Elephas maximus indicus: one gene and its partners. The main gene of each other region encodes a partner of the protein of the gene in region 3 in a complex. Links are inferred from orthologs where the notes say so. Each region holds a gene or a part of one and is shown on either strand. Other genes may lie near its edges.

Region 1 (5,099 bases), on a different chromosome or scaffold from region 3:
CAGACCTGTTGGAACACTGGAACTTGGGCTCAGTTTAGACTTTACCCTGTAGGGCATGGAAAGCTTCTGAGCAGAGAGGTGATATGAACAATCATGTGTTTTAGGAATAAACAATGAAGATTTATCTCTTGAGTTAATCTGTCCTAAGTGTTGGCCCTTGTACCAAATGTAAAGGATCAGAATCTTTATGTTTTGCTAAATGTGTCCCAAATTACATCCTGGGGCAACTGTGCTACCACCTATGTCCTGAAAAGGCTACTGAAATATTTTTCTTGACTAATGATAAATAACATGGAAAACTAACTCCAGGAAAGGAAAAAAAAAAGTTAAAAAGAAAAACTATCGTACTTGCTCCTATGACTATGGCAATACAACCAACCACATTTTGGGGATACATTTACATTAATTGTGCCCAAGTCATAATACTTTTGAACACAGTTTTTATTCAGTTAAACAAAACTTAGATTTGATAACTTTTCTGCAATTCGTACTTAGTGATTATCAGTTTTCTGACTCAGGGAGACCCCATGTGTGTCAGAGTAAAACTGTGCTCCATAGAGTTTTCAATGGCTGGTTTTTTGGAAGTAGATCGCCAGGCCTTTCTTCTGAGGAGACTCTGGGTGGACTTGAACCTCCAACCTTTCAGTTAGTAGCCTAGCTAACCATGGGCACTACCCAGGGGCTCCCTTTAATGGCTACAGAGCTCAAATCACCTAGAGATCTTAAGAGTTATCTCTGAAATAAACTTAGATGTGGAAAAGCTCAGAATTGGTTTAGGGGCTCCTCCCTAGATATTCCAGGAAAAATGGGGGTTAGAGACAGAATGAAGTAAAAGAAATTACAAATAGGCCAAAAGAATGAACATGAGAGGAAGTAATAAAATTCTCAACATACACAGCTATGTTTATATTAGGGAATCACTCTGACCTCTATCACTGCCATTGCAATCTCCCCCGCTAATGGCACAGTTCCCCCCACAAGACCTCAACAAAGCATCTCTTTGATTTAAAAAAAAAAAAAAAAGGTGGAAAACCAAAAACCAAACCCGTCGTCGAGTCAACTGGACTCATTGCGACGGTATACGACAGGGTAGAACTGTCCCATAGGGCTTCCAAGGGTGTAATCTTTAAGGAAGCAGAATCCCACTGCCACAACTTTCTTCCGCGGAGCGACTCGTGGGTTCCAACTGTTGATCTTTTGGTTACCAGCCCAACGCTTAACCGCTGCGCCACCGGGTCTACTTAAAAAGGGGAAGGAGCATGGCTTTTCACCTGCGTCAGAAGCCTGCAAAGCCATTTGTCCCTGTGCCAAACCAACACAACAGGAATCCCTCCGCACATGCTAGGGCTCTCCAGCACCGCCATTAGGAATGCCAAGTGCCTAGCTCCGGACCTGTCACAGAGTTTTCTGAATAAACTTTCCTCATCTTACCCCACGATGAAAAAGAGGATTCTGAAGACCACTTTATACCGTCTCCACACAAGCTCCGTTAGGGGAGGAGTGTCTGCACAAACGGCCCCAGAGGCCAGCCACCCCTTCCCAAGCCACACACTTCCTCTCATCGCTTCAAACCACAAATTCAGTTTTCCACTCAGCTTACAGACTGTTAGCAAGATTCCAGTGCTCAGCACTCTGTCCCAGGGAAAAGCGGGGGAAGGGGAGGAGGCGTGTTTCTATCCTCCAGTCTCACTTTGAGGCCTCCGAGAGGAACCTATGAAGAAGGAAGTCGGAAAGCACTGGGAAACGACTAGCATTCCCATTCGGCGGACCTCGGCTGCTTACAAACATTGAATGAAACCAAACGGATGGGCGGAAGGAGGGGAGCAACAGAGCTGGGCTTCCCAAATGAATAGCAGGCGGGTTCCCTCACTTTTGACGCGTCTACTATGCAACACGATAAATCTTATTTGGGAGCGGATTATCAGTCCCGAAGCCCAAATGCACATTTAGCCGCTCAGGTTCCAAAAACTCCGAGTTACTTCCCCACCGGGGCGGCAACTGACCCCTCCCGGGAGAGGGCCCCGAGCCCGCCCCGCTCCCAGTAACGGCGGCAGCCCGAGTTCAGCCCCGCAGGCACCCGCGAGGGCCGCAGATCCCGAGCCCGGGGCCCGGCACGGCGCCGGCGGCGCGCTCTGCAAATCGCCGGACTCCACCGCCCGACTCGCCCGCGGGCAGGGCCAGTCCCCGCGAACTTTGCAGCGACCGCTGCAGACCTGCGAAGCTGGCCGGGTCGGGGGGCGGGGTAGGCCGAGCACTCACCAACTCCGTATTTCTGCCTCTTGGTCGGGATCCAGCGGGCCATGGCGGCGACCTCGCCCCGCGGCGGCACCGGTTGCGGCGGCTACAGCTCCTCCGGCGCCGGCCGCCGCCGCCCCGCGCTGCTCCGCGCCCCGGGCTCTTCCGCCATGTTCCGTCAAACTTCGCTGCGACCCCTGCAAGCCGTCTTCCGCGGCTCTGCGCGCCGCCCGCGCCGAGACTGGACCCGCTCCGCCGCCGGTCCCACCCGGCCCGCGCCCGCGCCCGCGCCGCCCGCGGTCACCTGCTGGGCCGGGCGGCCGCGCCGCCCTGCGCCCTCGAGGCACCGCCCCGGCTCCTCCTGCCCGCCGCCCCACCCCGCGCCGCGCCCTTAGCTCCCGAGGCAGCCTGCCCGCCGGCTCAGGGACTCCCGGCTCGCCCACGCCGGGCGTGCTCGTTCGGCCCTGCGCGCTTTCTGGGAGCAGTTTCCCAGGGCTGACTCTGGGGTATGGCTTTTTTCTTTTTTTTTTTTTCCCCCCGCCTTCCCCACACCGGATTAAACCCAAGAGACTGGATCCGGTGGGGCGAGTTCCCCGCTGGAGGCGCCCAGCACACTCGGGCCGGGCTGCGGGGCACCGGTGGGCGAGGAGTGGGAGTCTGCGCCCACTGTGCGCTCCGGAGCCTTTTGGGGCGGGCGGGGGCGGGGAACAGAATGAATTAATAGAGGTTGTGTCTCGCCCCGGAGGGAACTCCCCAGTGCTTGGCGCTTGGCACTTGCCCGGCGCTCAATAAATATTTGTTGAATAAATGAGCAGTTGACTACTGCGTTCATCCCCTAGAGCTTTAACAGACACCACGCGAGCCGGAAGCCAGCCGGACTCCGGGGCAGACATTATCTCCTGTGGCCACCGTTTATAGCCTCTCAAAGCTGGGACATTTGTCTTCTGGTAAGTAGAGAGCTGGTGCGAGGGAGACGGGCTCCTCATTAGTATCAAATAGTTTCCTGATGGGTCCTCTGTGGGGGAATTATTTAGAAAGCCGTAGTTTCTAAGTCCTGTATCCCGTAAAACGCCGGAATACCTCTCCAGCTGAAGAAATTCATTCACTCTTGCTCAGGGAAAAAAGGATCTGCCCCAAGACTCCCTTTTCCTGGGAGCCAGCAGTCCAGAGAGCATCCCTGCGGAGAAAGGGACCGGGCACATTGATGTCTTTTTCTGGTTCACTGACTGTATTGACAAGAAATCGAAAACTGGGACTGCGCATTTGAACTGCCTCGGGTTCCAATTGGAGCCCTCTCTGGAACTCCCCTTTTTGAAACTCACTGGGAGAGACTTCAGCAAATGAAGGCACAGGAGTTCAGGGGGCTTCTTGCTATCTCACGCGGTGGAAGTATAATCTCAAACAGAGTAAATGACAAGCTTAATTATGTTCACCATCTGAGAAAATGCCTTTTGAAAGAAATTGCATTACCCTTGCAGTCTGTGAAGGTTTTCTTCCGTGTTTGAGCATGAAAGGAAAGAAAGATAAAATAATCATGCAGCGAAATATAGTAAAAACTTGTTTGAAGAATAAGTGCATTATAATTCTGATAACTTTCTGCAAAGCCAGGTCTAAAAAAAAAACCCTGTTTAAGGTGGGTAGTTCTCAGGGCTTACTTTCTTCTGCATCACCCAACAAGTATTTATTCACAAAATAGAATCAGAAACTTAATATAAGAGATTCCCCTGTCATTCAGGCTTGACATCCAAAAGGTATTCCATCTCCCTGAAAATAAAATTTCTTTTCCTCTATCAATGATAACATGAGTAACCTGATTTCCCAGGTTAAAGAATTCATTTCTTCATTCGTCCCTTCCACTAATGTTTATTAAGTGCCTGCTAGATACCAGGCATTGTTTTAAGAATGGGGGTACGTCAGTGAATAAAGTAAAATCCCTGCCATCATAGAGCTTACATTCTAGAACTGAAGAGTGAGACAACAAATATATACCAGGTAGTGATAAGGTCTATGGAGAAAAATCCAAAGCAAGGCAGATGGAATGTGTAGGGCGTGCTGCTATCCTATATAGAGTGATCTGGGAAGGCGTCTCTAAGATGACATTGAAGTATAGACCTGAAGAAGTGAGGACTTCAGGGGAAAGAATTACGGACAGTGGGGATAACAAATATAAAGGCCCTGATGCGTGTTCAGCAATTTCCAAAGATAGCCAGGGATTCGGTGTGGTGAGAGCAGAGTAAGGGGAAGAACATGGGAGAGACATGGTCCAGAGGCAATGGGTGTTCAGATAAATAAGGACTTTATATATTACTGTGAGATGGGAAGTTTGGAGGATGTTGAATCAACAAGGACGTGATCTAATTTGCCTGCTGTGTGATGAATAGACTAAAGGGGTGAGGAAAAGCAGGAAGACCAGATGGAAAGCTACTTATTAGTTCAGGCAAAAAATGAAGGGATATTGCAGCTCTGTTTACAATAGCAAAAAGCTGGAAGCAACCAAGATGTCCATCAACGGATGAATGGGTAAATAAATTGTGGTATATTCACACAATGGAATACTACGCATCGATAAAGAACAGTGACAAATCTCTGAAACATTTCATAACATGGAGGAATCTGGAAGGCATTATGCTGAGCGAAATGAGCCAGAGGCAAAAGGACAAATATTGTATAAGACCACTATTATAAGATCTTGAGAAATAGAAAAAACTGAGAAGAACACATACTTTTGTGGTTACAAAGGGGGGAGGGAGGGAGAGAGGGAGAGGGTTTTTTATTGATCAATTAGTAGATAAGAACTGCTTTGGGTGAAGGGAAAGACAACACTCAATACAAGGAAGGTCAGCCTAATTGGACTGGACTAAAAG
Region 2 (5,099 bases), on a different chromosome or scaffold from region 3:
TCCTTTTTGGAGTTGTTCCTACCTCATTAAGCTGAATTCACTGTCAGGGTTCCCTCTGCTTCCCAGTACCCCAGCTACTACAACCTCTTATACCTTCTGGCTCATAAGCCCCTAAAAGTTTACACCAGCCGCTTCTGCCCTAACACTTTGCCAGAAGCAACCCCTGTTGTCCCAGATTCCCAATCAGGATCTGTAACAACTTCACATCAGCCATTTCTTTTCATGCCATGACCTTGACAGTATTTCTTTAGTCAAGACCTCAACAGCTATCTCCTAGGTTGTAGGCAACGCTCCCCCCGACTCCCCCATGATATTTTCCCAATTAGATTCTCCTCATCCCTGTTGTATTTTTCCAGTAATGATTTTCTTGCAATTAACAATCCTCTAGTACTGCCAGATCTTGACTGGGAGAACTCATCCATTCTATCTTCACCCTCAGAGTCCCATGAGTTGCTCAATTATGTAAAATGCTGAACTCGTGTGTGTCACAACTCTTGGGTAGTTTTTTTTTTTTAAACTGAATCCTGATGTCGAGAAAGTGTCTTTCATGCACATCCTTCCCAGGGCTGGAATTTTATGCAAGGCTAGCCCCTCCCTGGGATTTCCTCCTGGGGCCAAACTCCCTGCACCTCCCAGAAATGAGAGTAGGAGAGACAGGTAGGTGGAAGAGCAGGACTGGAAGAAGGAACAACTCATGGGAAAGGGACAACTGTGAGAAGGGAAGAGAATGGGATAAGGAATGGGGAGAGCCTTACATTTATCTGTGCCTGGGAACCCAAAAAAGTAGTGCCTGCTCCCCTCTACTTCTCTTTTTTCTAGCGGATAGGAGTAGAGCAGACTGGAGGAGCTTGAGAGAAGCAGGAACCCTTAGCATACATCCCAAAGGCCTGAGAAAGGAGCTCTAGAATGGAAACAAAAAGAGCTTATAGAGCCAGGCTAGGCTAAAATTAGACTTGGAAGAAATTCACAAAAGAGAGGGAGTAGGGTCCTAGGTGATAGAGGGAATATTAAGAATGGCTAAAGGCATCAAGAGCTGAACTCCAGAGGGCTTCCCGGTCACCAAGGCCCAGTCTGGATGGCCTCTGGAAGGTAGGAGGGAAGAGGGGCAGACACTTTTGCCTCATACCCATCTTCTTCTCCTGAACTGAAATGAAAACACCTAAGACTGAAGTTAAATCAGCTGCCTTTGCTCTCTTCCACTGCACCTAGGTGGCCTGATCCTATTCTTCCCACCAGGAGGTGCTGAAGCCAGGGACTCATCTCCTAAGGCCACTCACTGTCCCCCAGCCTTCAGGACTGGCTTCTTGGTTAAGCAGTCAAGGGTCTGGACGACTCTGATTTCCTGTGGCCTCTCTCACCAGTCTTATTCCTGTGTTACTGTACCCTGACTGCTATGGACTGCTTCCTCCTGCCTAACCACAACTCATCCACTGCAGGTTCCCTTCATTCTGCTGGCTTCCCCTGCTCTGGGGCCTCTCAAGGCTGAGAGCAGTTATTTGGCTGTCTCCAGTTAAAGATATGGACACAGAGACACTTGCACATGTGCGCACACACACACACACACACAGACATTTTCCAGCCCTTTAATCATCTCCATCACCGAGAGGTTGCAGCATGTCTCTGGGAGGTTCAAAAAGGCTCTCAAACTCACCAAGTCTTCTACAGTAGATCCTGACCCCAAAGCTGGAGAGAAGTGGGTGAAAGGGAAGGTGACAGAGAGAGGGTGACAAACTGAGAGATTATGAGAATGAGAGGAGATGGAAGGAACAAGATGGTGGGGAGCCAGAAGCCGGATAGCGAAAGGAGGGGGGGGATGCAGCAGGAGACTGAGATGGACAGCAGGTTAGAGTAGTTAAGGAGAGGTCAGGGCTGTGATCGGGGGAAAGAAGACAGAAGGAGAGGGGAGGAGAGGAGATAGTGATGGCCAGTTTGTGGGTGGAGACTAAAGGAGGGATGGAGGGAGACAGAATGAGAAAGTGGGTAGAATTCAGGGACTAAGAATGGCGGGGGCGGGGGGGGGAAGACTAGTAGATGGCTACCAATTGTTCCCAGAAGGCCAGAGACCCTGATGCCTCTCAGAAGCCCTATTTTCTCCATTTCCTGAAAACAGACCTGATCTCAGTTATGCCATCTTGTCCAACTCTCAGTATCTCTGAATGAGAGTCCTTTCACCTCCAGCCACAGGACAAGACCAGGCCTTTTCCTTCCTCAGTTTACCCACCACAGAGCAAGGCCAGACACTGGTCAGCTGGGCACTGCAGATGTCTGCTCACTGAATACCTGTTGCTTGGGTCCAGGGATGGGGAGGTTGGGCTTCAGAGAAACAGACACACAGAGAGAAGGACTGGGGTCGGCGGGGTTCCCTCCGGGTCCTTTTGGTTGCAGAGTGTGGGTATGGGGTGACCTCGTTCTCCCAGGGCGGGACCTCTTTCTGTGCAGTCTCCAGGGTTCGCAGGCCCCAGACACCTACCCCCTCTCAACCTCACAAATGTCACAATTGCCCGAGACTCTCTCCCCTCACACACTTGGTCACCGCCCTCCACCGACAACTTCTGTGGGCACCCCCACCTCTGAGTTCCACATCCTAGCTCTGAGCACTTCCACTTCAGAGGCTGTCCTCCCTGAGCCAGAGACACGCTGGCCTAAGGGGGTTCTCCCGGCTCCCGAGAGCCGGTACAGCTGCCGGGAATCCACTCTGACCGAGCCGCCGCTGGCTCGCAGTGGCCCGGTCTCCGCCCCGCCCGACCGGCCGCGCCCGCCCAACTTGGAGCGAACCAAGAACCTCCCGCCCGCGGCCTCCCGCAAGCAAACTTCCTGGGCCGGCGCCTGCGCCCCGTCCCGCGCTGGCCGGGCTCCCCTCCCCCGGTCCCCCAGTCCGCCGGCCCGGGCCCAGCCTTACCTGTTGCCCTCCCCACCGCGGGGGAGCTGGGGAGGCGGCGGCAGCGGCTCCGGGCTCAAGAAGGAAGTGAGAGCGGGAGGCCGGAGGAAGTGGGGGGGGCGGGCCAGCCGGCGGGGCGGGGCGCGGGGGCGGAGCGCGGGGCACGACCAGGAAGTCCGCGACCCGCCCTCACCGCCTCACCCTCTCCCAGCCTTGCCCCCCACCCACGGCCTCGCCCCCGCCCCGGTCCGAGGCTCCCCGCCTTCAGCCCACTGGCCGGAGTCTTTTAAGTCAAGCCTGCCAAGGTCAGGCCTTCTAGCCTCCTCCTTGGCTCCGGTCCCATCAGAGGCCTAAGCCTAGGCGCTAGGCATTTGTCCCCCACGCCTGTATCTCGTCCCTTCCACCCGTTGCGGGAAGATGCTGAGAAAAGGCGCCCCTAGGCCTGGTGACTTCTGCCAAACCCAGGGACCGGGCAATGGCCGCAGCTGGGGAATGGGCAGAATAGGTTACGCTGGGGCAGTCCCCACCTTTGCCCCGAGCCCCGGGGGATTGCGGGGTGGTGATGATTCAGTAGTGGGAAGGCCCCAGACCCTTTGTGGGGGGGGGTTGCGGAGACTGGGGGAAGGGGAGCTGGCGTCAGCACACGGGGAAAGACAAGATCAGCAGAGGCGCAGGCGGAGCCGCGGGCCCAAAAACAGGATGTCGTGTCGTCGTTCCGCACCCGGTGGCTCAGCCGGGCCCTGGGGAGGGGGCGGGGCGGGCAGAGGACGTGGGGCTCCCCGCGCTCCATCTTCCCGCCGGGGCGCGCAGCTGCTAGAGGCTGAAGGGCCGCACCCAGGCCGCGGGGTCGCGGCCGGAGGTCGGGGTCCGGGCCCGGGGGACTGGCGGACTCGTGGGCGCCCTCTGGTGTTTTTGCTCCGACGCCTTGCACGGAACTCTGACTTTGGAGCTGATATTCTTGGTTCAAATCAAACTTTCCAGCGCCAACCACGTGCAGAACCCCATGCTGGGTGCTCTAGAAACTCACAGGCGTTTAAGACCGTAGAGGCGCCCTGTCTTCAAGAGGTTTTCCACATAAAAAAGGGTGAGCTCCGGGAATAAATAGCTCGACCTTTCTGAGCCTCAGTTCTTTCTTTGGTAAAATAGAATACGGTCCCCTTCGCCCGTTAGTTGTAAAGATAAAATAATAGATGTAAAAGGCCTACTGTCAGTGCCTGGCTCAAAGTAAACACTCAATAAATGCTTCTTTATTTTTTCTTTTTATGTCATACTATGAGTTCTCAAAACACAGCGGGCTTGCCCACATCTTTGGATCTTTGCGCATTCTGTTCCCTCTGACTTCTTTTCTGTGTAGTCGGCCAGGGGAGATCGGCTTATTCTTTCACAATCTGGCTGTACTAAACTACTCCCTGCCTGGCTTCATCTTTCCTCCCTCCAGCACACACATACCCCAACCACCCCTGCCATGCGTTTGACTCTCCCAGTGCTGTCCAAAAGAAATAGAATGCAAGCCACATTTGTAATTCAAAATTTTCTAATGATGACAATGACAAAAAAAAAAAGCAGCTGCTGAGTTTGTGTACAACCAAACACCTCATGGGATTTGGTTCCTTGGTTTGGATATTTAGGGTCATAGTTTTATGGGACATCCCAGTTAATTGGCCTAATAATGTGTTTAGTGCCTCTGTTCTACTTCCTAGTAACTTGAGTAGTGCCTGGGATCTTAAAAGCTTGCAAGGGGCCATCCAAGGCGCAACAGTTAGTCTCTACTAACCTGGAGCAAAAGAGGAAGAAGGACAGTCAGGAATAGAAGGATATGGAATGTTAACTTTGGACATGTTACCAGGAGGGACCAGTCCCTGGAGAAGGACATAATGCTTGATAAAGTAGAGGGTCAACAAAAAAAGAGGAAGACCCTCAAAGAGATAGACTGACACAGTGGCTGCAACAATGGGCTCAAGCATAAGGACGATTGTGAGGATGGCGCAGGATGGGGCAGTGTTTCCTTCTGTTGTGGTTGGGGTCACTATAAGTTGGAACCGACTTGATGGCACCTAACAACATAACAGAATGTGTGGCTAATTACCTCCATGAACAACTGCCTCCTTTGTCATGAGACCAGAAGAGCTGGATGGTGCCCAGCTACCATTACGGAGCTATAGAAGAATCCTGATCAAAAGGGGGGAAATGTAGAACAGAATTTCAAATTTTCATGGACTCT
Region 3 (5,099 bases):
GTGGACTTCAGAGGGTAGAGCTCGGTCGAAGGTTACAGGGAGGTGATTGCACTTTAATTGCAGTGCAAAGATAGGACATAGAGTTGCGTATCTCTTCGGGACAGATATGACAGGTATCATTGCTGAGTGCTCGCCATGTCTCACTAAGACCTTTTCTGCCTTAGCTGGAAAGTCGTGGATCAAATTCACACTTATAACTAACTACAACTGTCTCACAGTTTTATTACCGGACCTCCGGGTCTCGATGGCCCTGACACTTAGGCAGGAGTCAGGCGAAAGTGAAAGAAGAAAAACTTTTTTTGGTTGGCCAAGCAAAGGAGCTCCCTGGGACCTGCGTCGCCAAGATGGCCCTTTGATTGGCAGGCACAAGGGTTTACATACTGGGAGGAAACAGACTAGGAGCGGGCTCTTCTTCAGGGCGTCATAGGGTTGGCGCAATCACACTGGGAGGAGAAATGGTGGGTTAGCTCCGCCCAGCCGCCATCCGGTGGTTTCCCACCTCTGCTTCATTAGTCAAGGCTATATTTACCGACTGCTTATTAAAAATCATCTCATTTAACAGTTGTCTTGTTGGCTGTTGTTATTACATCACTGACATTTTACAGATGAGGAAAAAGAGAAGTTACTTTCCAAGAGTCACCATGCTTTAAATCACTGACTTGTAACCATCTAGACCCAGGTTTTCTTGCTATTAATACTGCCTCCCAGGGTTTGTGCATTTAATAAGGGGTTCATCACTACCTGGAGACTATATACGTATATATAGGAGACAGGGTTGGTGATTTGCTTCCAAAAGGACACAGCCTTGAAACCCTGTGAAGCAATTCTAGCCTGCACACATAGGGTCATCATGAATCAGAATCAACAGGAACTATCAAAAACATATAAGATATTAACTCAATACATCTAAAAAATTATTTCAACATGCAATCAATATAAAAATTATTGGCCAGCTGTTTTACACTTGATTTTTTCACACTAAGTCCTGTGTGCGGTTTACCCTTAAAGAGCATCTCAGAACTAGCCATGTTTCAAGTGCCCCACAGTCACATGTAGTTCCTGGCTTCTAGTAGACAGCCAGCACAGGGTTAACTATTAAATTTCTTGGGGGACAGAGGCTGATTCTTAAAGGGGAGCGCTCTCCATCTTAGATTCTGGAACCTTCCTAGGGGCAACTTGTTCCCTTGTCAGTCAGAAAGGAGAGCAAAGCAACTGCCTTCGCCTTTTCTGGGAAAGCCAATGTAGGTATTTCTGAATTCTGTGAGGACAGGTGTTTCTTTCAGTCTTCCAACAACTGTCATTTCCCTCCTGCCAGCTATGCTGGGAGTTAAGGTCCTTGATTTTGCTTTGAACATGACTGAAGTAGGTTGCATGAATTAAATAATGTGTCTTAAATACCACATTGGGGTAGAAAGCCTGGATTTTATGCAGTTATGCAAAACTAGGGAGCCCCTGGCTTAATTGATTAGAACTAAATCTTTAGTTTCAAGTACAGAGTCGGTATGGATGGGTGACCGGGGAGAGGGAGGAAGGAAATGTTCTGTTTGTTCTGTTGTTTTTTGCCACGCTCTCCAAGGGTAGAGACATGGCGTGCAATAAGACACAGCAGTCCCTTTTAAAGTAGCTTTGAAACGGCCCAGCGAAGTTCCCCCTTAAATCCCCAAAACCAGTTGCCAAAAATGAAAACAGATTAAAAGATGCCGCGCGTACTGGGCCTCCCGGAGGTGGCGCTTTGAAGGTGACGGAGTTAATTAGTGCCTGCAAAAGTCGGTGTGTGAGCTCATCTGAGAATCATGCTCTGCACACGTATTATTTATAGCAGATCTGAGCCACGCACGGTGTTTGACATTTTCCTCTTTTTAAGTAAGGGGACTTCTAAAAGTCGTGGGCACCACCCCAGGAAAAGTGCAGAGGGCAAGCACCAGAGCGCGGGCAGGTGCCAGTGCCGGCGGCGGTGGCGGCGGCAACTCCGCAGCGTCCGCTCGGGAAGAGAGTTCGTAGCTGATGTCCGGATGCCTTGCAGATGCAAAATGTGTCTCTGGCCACCAGGAGGAAGGAAGAGGAAGTGAGAGCAGCGGCAGCCGGCGGCACAGCAGCCGGCCGACCCGGAGTGTAAGTGCGTGTGCTCGAGCGAGCGAGAGCGGGCGAGAATGGGCACGGGATAGAGACAGAGCCACCCACACACCGCGGCCCCGAGCTGGGCGTCAGAGTCTCCGGCCCCCCTTCGCGGGTCGCCAGGGCTCTCGTCGTTGGAAGCCCTCGCCGCCGCCACAGCTGTCCTGAGACCCCGGGCAGGTTCGTAAAGTTTCCTGGGCTGGCGCCGAGCACCGACTCGTTGACCTCAGAGCAGCCGGGGAGGGGGCAGGGGCTAGGGCAGGGAGGAGGCGTCCTACTCCGGGGACTCTGGGCGCCGCCGAGACACTTTTGTTTCCTCTCTAGGGGCGCCGCGGCTCGGGCGGGGGTGGCCGCCACGCACCGCGGGGTGAGGGCTGCGGGAGAGCCGGATCGCTCCGCAATTGGGGAAGTCTGGGCAGCTGAGGGCGGCTGGTGTGGGAGTGGGCACGGAGGGAGAGGGCTCCGGAGGTGGAGCGCCCGGGATGGAGCGCAGGGCCCGGGGCCCAAGAATCCGCGGAGACGTTTCGAGCAGGGCAGGCTAGAGGGGGGCGCCGGCGGGTTGCGCTACTGGCGCAGGGGTGTCGGGGCCAGGGGGCTTGGAGTAAAGATTCCTGGGACTGGAGACCCGGGAGACTGCTGGAGGTGGGGCTGGAGGCTCGGACTCCTGGTTTTTCTCCGGCGCTCGCAGATGGGAGGGAATCCCCCGGCGAGCGCGCCCCTGGGAGGGGGCGGTGTTGGGATAGAGGGAATGGAGGGGCGGAGGGGGCTGTTAAGGCAGTTGCGAGCCCTAGGGCGATTGCTAGTAAATACTTGCCCCGGGGACACTCTGAGGTCTCCACGGGGACCAGAGAAGGCGATGTGGGGGCCTTCGATGAGAAATCCTGGCTTTGGAGAGGGGTCGCACCGGGCGCGCCTTGGGAGACAGGGGGCGGCGGAGCGCTGGGAGCCCTGGAATAGGAGTGGAGAGGGGCGGCCGCGACTGCCTGAGTAGGTTTGAGGAAGAGGAAGAGGAAATACAGAACTCAGTTGGCCTGGGGGTGCGCGCGTGTGTTCGTGGTTGGGAAGTCTGTGTTGTGCTGCGGGCGCGCGCGAGGGCGGCGAGCGTGTGTGTGTGTGTGTGTGTGTGTGTGTGTGTGTCTGTGCCTGTACGTGTGTGACCCCGCCGAATGACCATCTCCCGCTTGTGGACGCTTTGAAGTTGGCAGCTCTGGGCAGCGGTTGTTGGTGGCTTGAGCTGCAGTGGCCTGAAGCAGCAGGATTTGGCCCCCTGTGGTGACCCAGCTCTGGGGGGCCTCTGGACAGCTCCTGAGACACAGGAAGCATATGTTGTGATGCCCTGTGTACTGGACCACCGACCTTATCATACTTCTGGTCATGAATTATGTGCTAAGATTTCAGGGAGCTTCAGACAGGGGTTTGTGCCTCTGGAGGCAAAGGCTGTCTGCCCCCAATTTGGAGTGAGATGAGGCAGTGGAAGAATTTTTGAGATTTTGTTTTGTTTTACCTTATTCTGTAAAATATAAGTAATGGCATGCATTTATATACCAGATCTTTGAGTGCAACTTTGGGAGTCCCTGTCACAGTAATTTTTAAATTGCAAAGGCAGGCTGGCAGCATCTATGAAGGGCCTTCTCTGGCCAGGGCTTTTCTTAATATCTCACCTCCATACCTACTTCTCAAGGTTGTTTCATGGATTGTAGTCTCCCAATTTACAGATGAGGGGCTGAGGTCCAAAGAAGTAGGAGGCAAGATACCCAGCTGGCAAATAGACATTTTTTGATAGCCGACCTTTTGACTCTCTGCTCTTCATGATGTCTTTCCTATCTCTTGATGGCTCTGGTTAAATGTGCATGTTGCCTTCTTTCCTACTACAATTATTGCTCAATTTCTTTGTTAATCAGATGAACTGGTTGTCCCTTTGGGAGATTGGGAGGGAATGACCTGGAGTGCTGGAACACCCCAGCGGGGGAACTGGGGAACAAGATGCTTGATAGTTCTACAGAGAGGGGCAGGCTGGGAGGCAAGTCCAGGCTGAGTCTAGGTAAACCCAGGACCTGGAACAGTCAGTCACTGGGGTAATGGATGAGTGATACTAATGATGACCATACCCTCCCCACCCCACTGTCATTCCCAGGTCATCTCTCTGCCCTTGTTAATTGCAGACACTCTGACCTTATTTTTTTTTTGCTGAGTTCTGTCCCCAGGGCCTTTGCACATGCTGTTGCTTCTGTATGAGGAAATCCCCCCTCCTCCTTTGCTTCCTCCAGGTCTTTGCTTAGTCAACTTATCAGGAGGCCTTTCCTGGCTATCTTATATAGAATGGCAACCAGGCAATTAATTCCTCATCCCCTTACTTTATTTTCCATCTTAGCACTTATTTTCCCCTGACTTACATTTGTTTGTTCATTTGATTGTTTTCTGTTTCCTCCACTAGAATGTAAGCACCATGAGGATAGGGACCTTGTCTTGTTTGCAGCTCCAGAACCTAGAGTGACCCCCAGCATGTGGTAGGCACTCAGTAAGTATTTATTGATTGACCGAATGAGAGATATCTATATTAGGAAATAACCATCAGCACCATCAGTGGCAAGTAGATGCCCAGGCACTAGGCTTTGGCTTTTCTCCCTGTCCTCTCCCCCAGGCCCAGCCATGTTTGTTTCTGATCTCTTTCTGCCTGAGTAGATTTCTTCAGAATTTCAGACTGAGGACGGAGAGGTGATTCCTCAGGAGAGTCGAACTCAAGTCTCCTTTATAAATAACGTGTGACCACTCCAGATCTGGCATTTTATCACACTCCTTGGAGAAAGACTTTTCAAAGCGTGGGCTGTTTTAGCCAATGAAATAATTGCCTAGGAAGAATTCCTGCTCTATGAACAGAGTGGAGTCAGATCCACCCGCGGTATCACATGCCACAAGCCCAGAAGATGAACAGGAAAGTAGAGATGAGGAGGTGGTGAGGAAGGCAAGGAGAGAAGCTGGGTGGC

Evidence for each region. The genes of interacting proteins can lie anywhere in the genome.
Region 1: the proteins of ELMO1 (region 3) and DOCK5 are in contact, whole or in part, in a cryo-EM structure (PDB 8JHK), measured with the Homo sapiens proteins. The link is inferred for Elephas maximus indicus from reciprocal best matches to the Homo sapiens genes ELMO1 and DOCK5. Residues at the interface, in NP_001193409.1 of Homo sapiens: Ile7, Val8, Lys9, Ala11, Tyr18, Pro19, Leu21, Glu23, Glu36, Asp39, Gly40, Ser42, Asn71, Gly72, Gln392, Asp393, Leu400, Glu401, Lys468, Arg531, Glu535, Leu536, Lys539, Leu547, Gln550, Gln551, Asn554, Arg555, Asn582, Thr688; in NP_079216.4 of Homo sapiens: Met1, Ala2, Arg3, Trp4, Val14, Ala15, Ile16, Tyr17, Asn18, Ser22, Gln23, Gln30, Ile31, Gly32, Asp33, Thr34, Glu39, Tyr41, Gly43, Trp44, Arg46, Tyr48, Lys56, Ile58, Pro60, Glu61, Thr62, Tyr63, His65, Leu66.
Region 2: the proteins of ELMO1 (region 3) and RHOG are in contact, whole or in part, in a crystal structure (PDB 7Y4A), measured with the Homo sapiens proteins. The link is inferred for Elephas maximus indicus from reciprocal best matches to the Homo sapiens genes ELMO1 and RHOG. Residues at the interface, in NP_001193409.1 of Homo sapiens: Lys9, Val10, Ala11, Glu13, Tyr18, Pro19, Leu21, Met22, Ala54, Asn71, Gly72, Ile74; in NP_001656.2 of Homo sapiens: Val36, Phe37, Asp38, Trp56, Tyr64, Arg66, Leu67, Leu70, Ser71, Pro73, Gln74.

What each region holds. Positions count from the first base shown.
Region 1 is NC_064840.1:48,552,590-48,557,688, forward strand, and holds the start of DOCK5 (dedicator of cytokinesis protein 5), read right to left. Parts: upstream 2,521-5,099; 5' UTR 2,303-2,520; coding exon 2,260-2,302; intron 1-2,259. UniProt on the Homo sapiens protein: Guanine nucleotide exchange factor (GEF) for Rho and Rac. GEF proteins activate small GTPases by exchanging bound GDP for free GTP. Along with DOCK1, mediates CRK/CRKL regulation of epithelial and endothelial cell spreading and migration on type IV collagen.
Region 2 is NC_064825.1:53,151,915-53,157,013, forward strand, and holds the start of RHOG (rho-related GTP-binding protein RhoG), read right to left. Parts: upstream 3,004-5,099; 5' UTR 2,900-3,003; intron 1-2,899.
Region 3 is NC_064826.1:99,220,231-99,225,329, reverse strand, and holds the start of ELMO1 (engulfment and cell motility protein 1), read left to right. Parts: upstream 1-1,730; 5' UTR 1,731-2,112; exon of another isoform or gene 2,113-2,295; intron 2,296-5,099. UniProt on the Homo sapiens protein: Involved in cytoskeletal rearrangements required for phagocytosis of apoptotic cells and cell motility. Acts in association with DOCK1 and CRK. Was initially proposed to be required in complex with DOCK1 to activate Rac Rho small GTPases.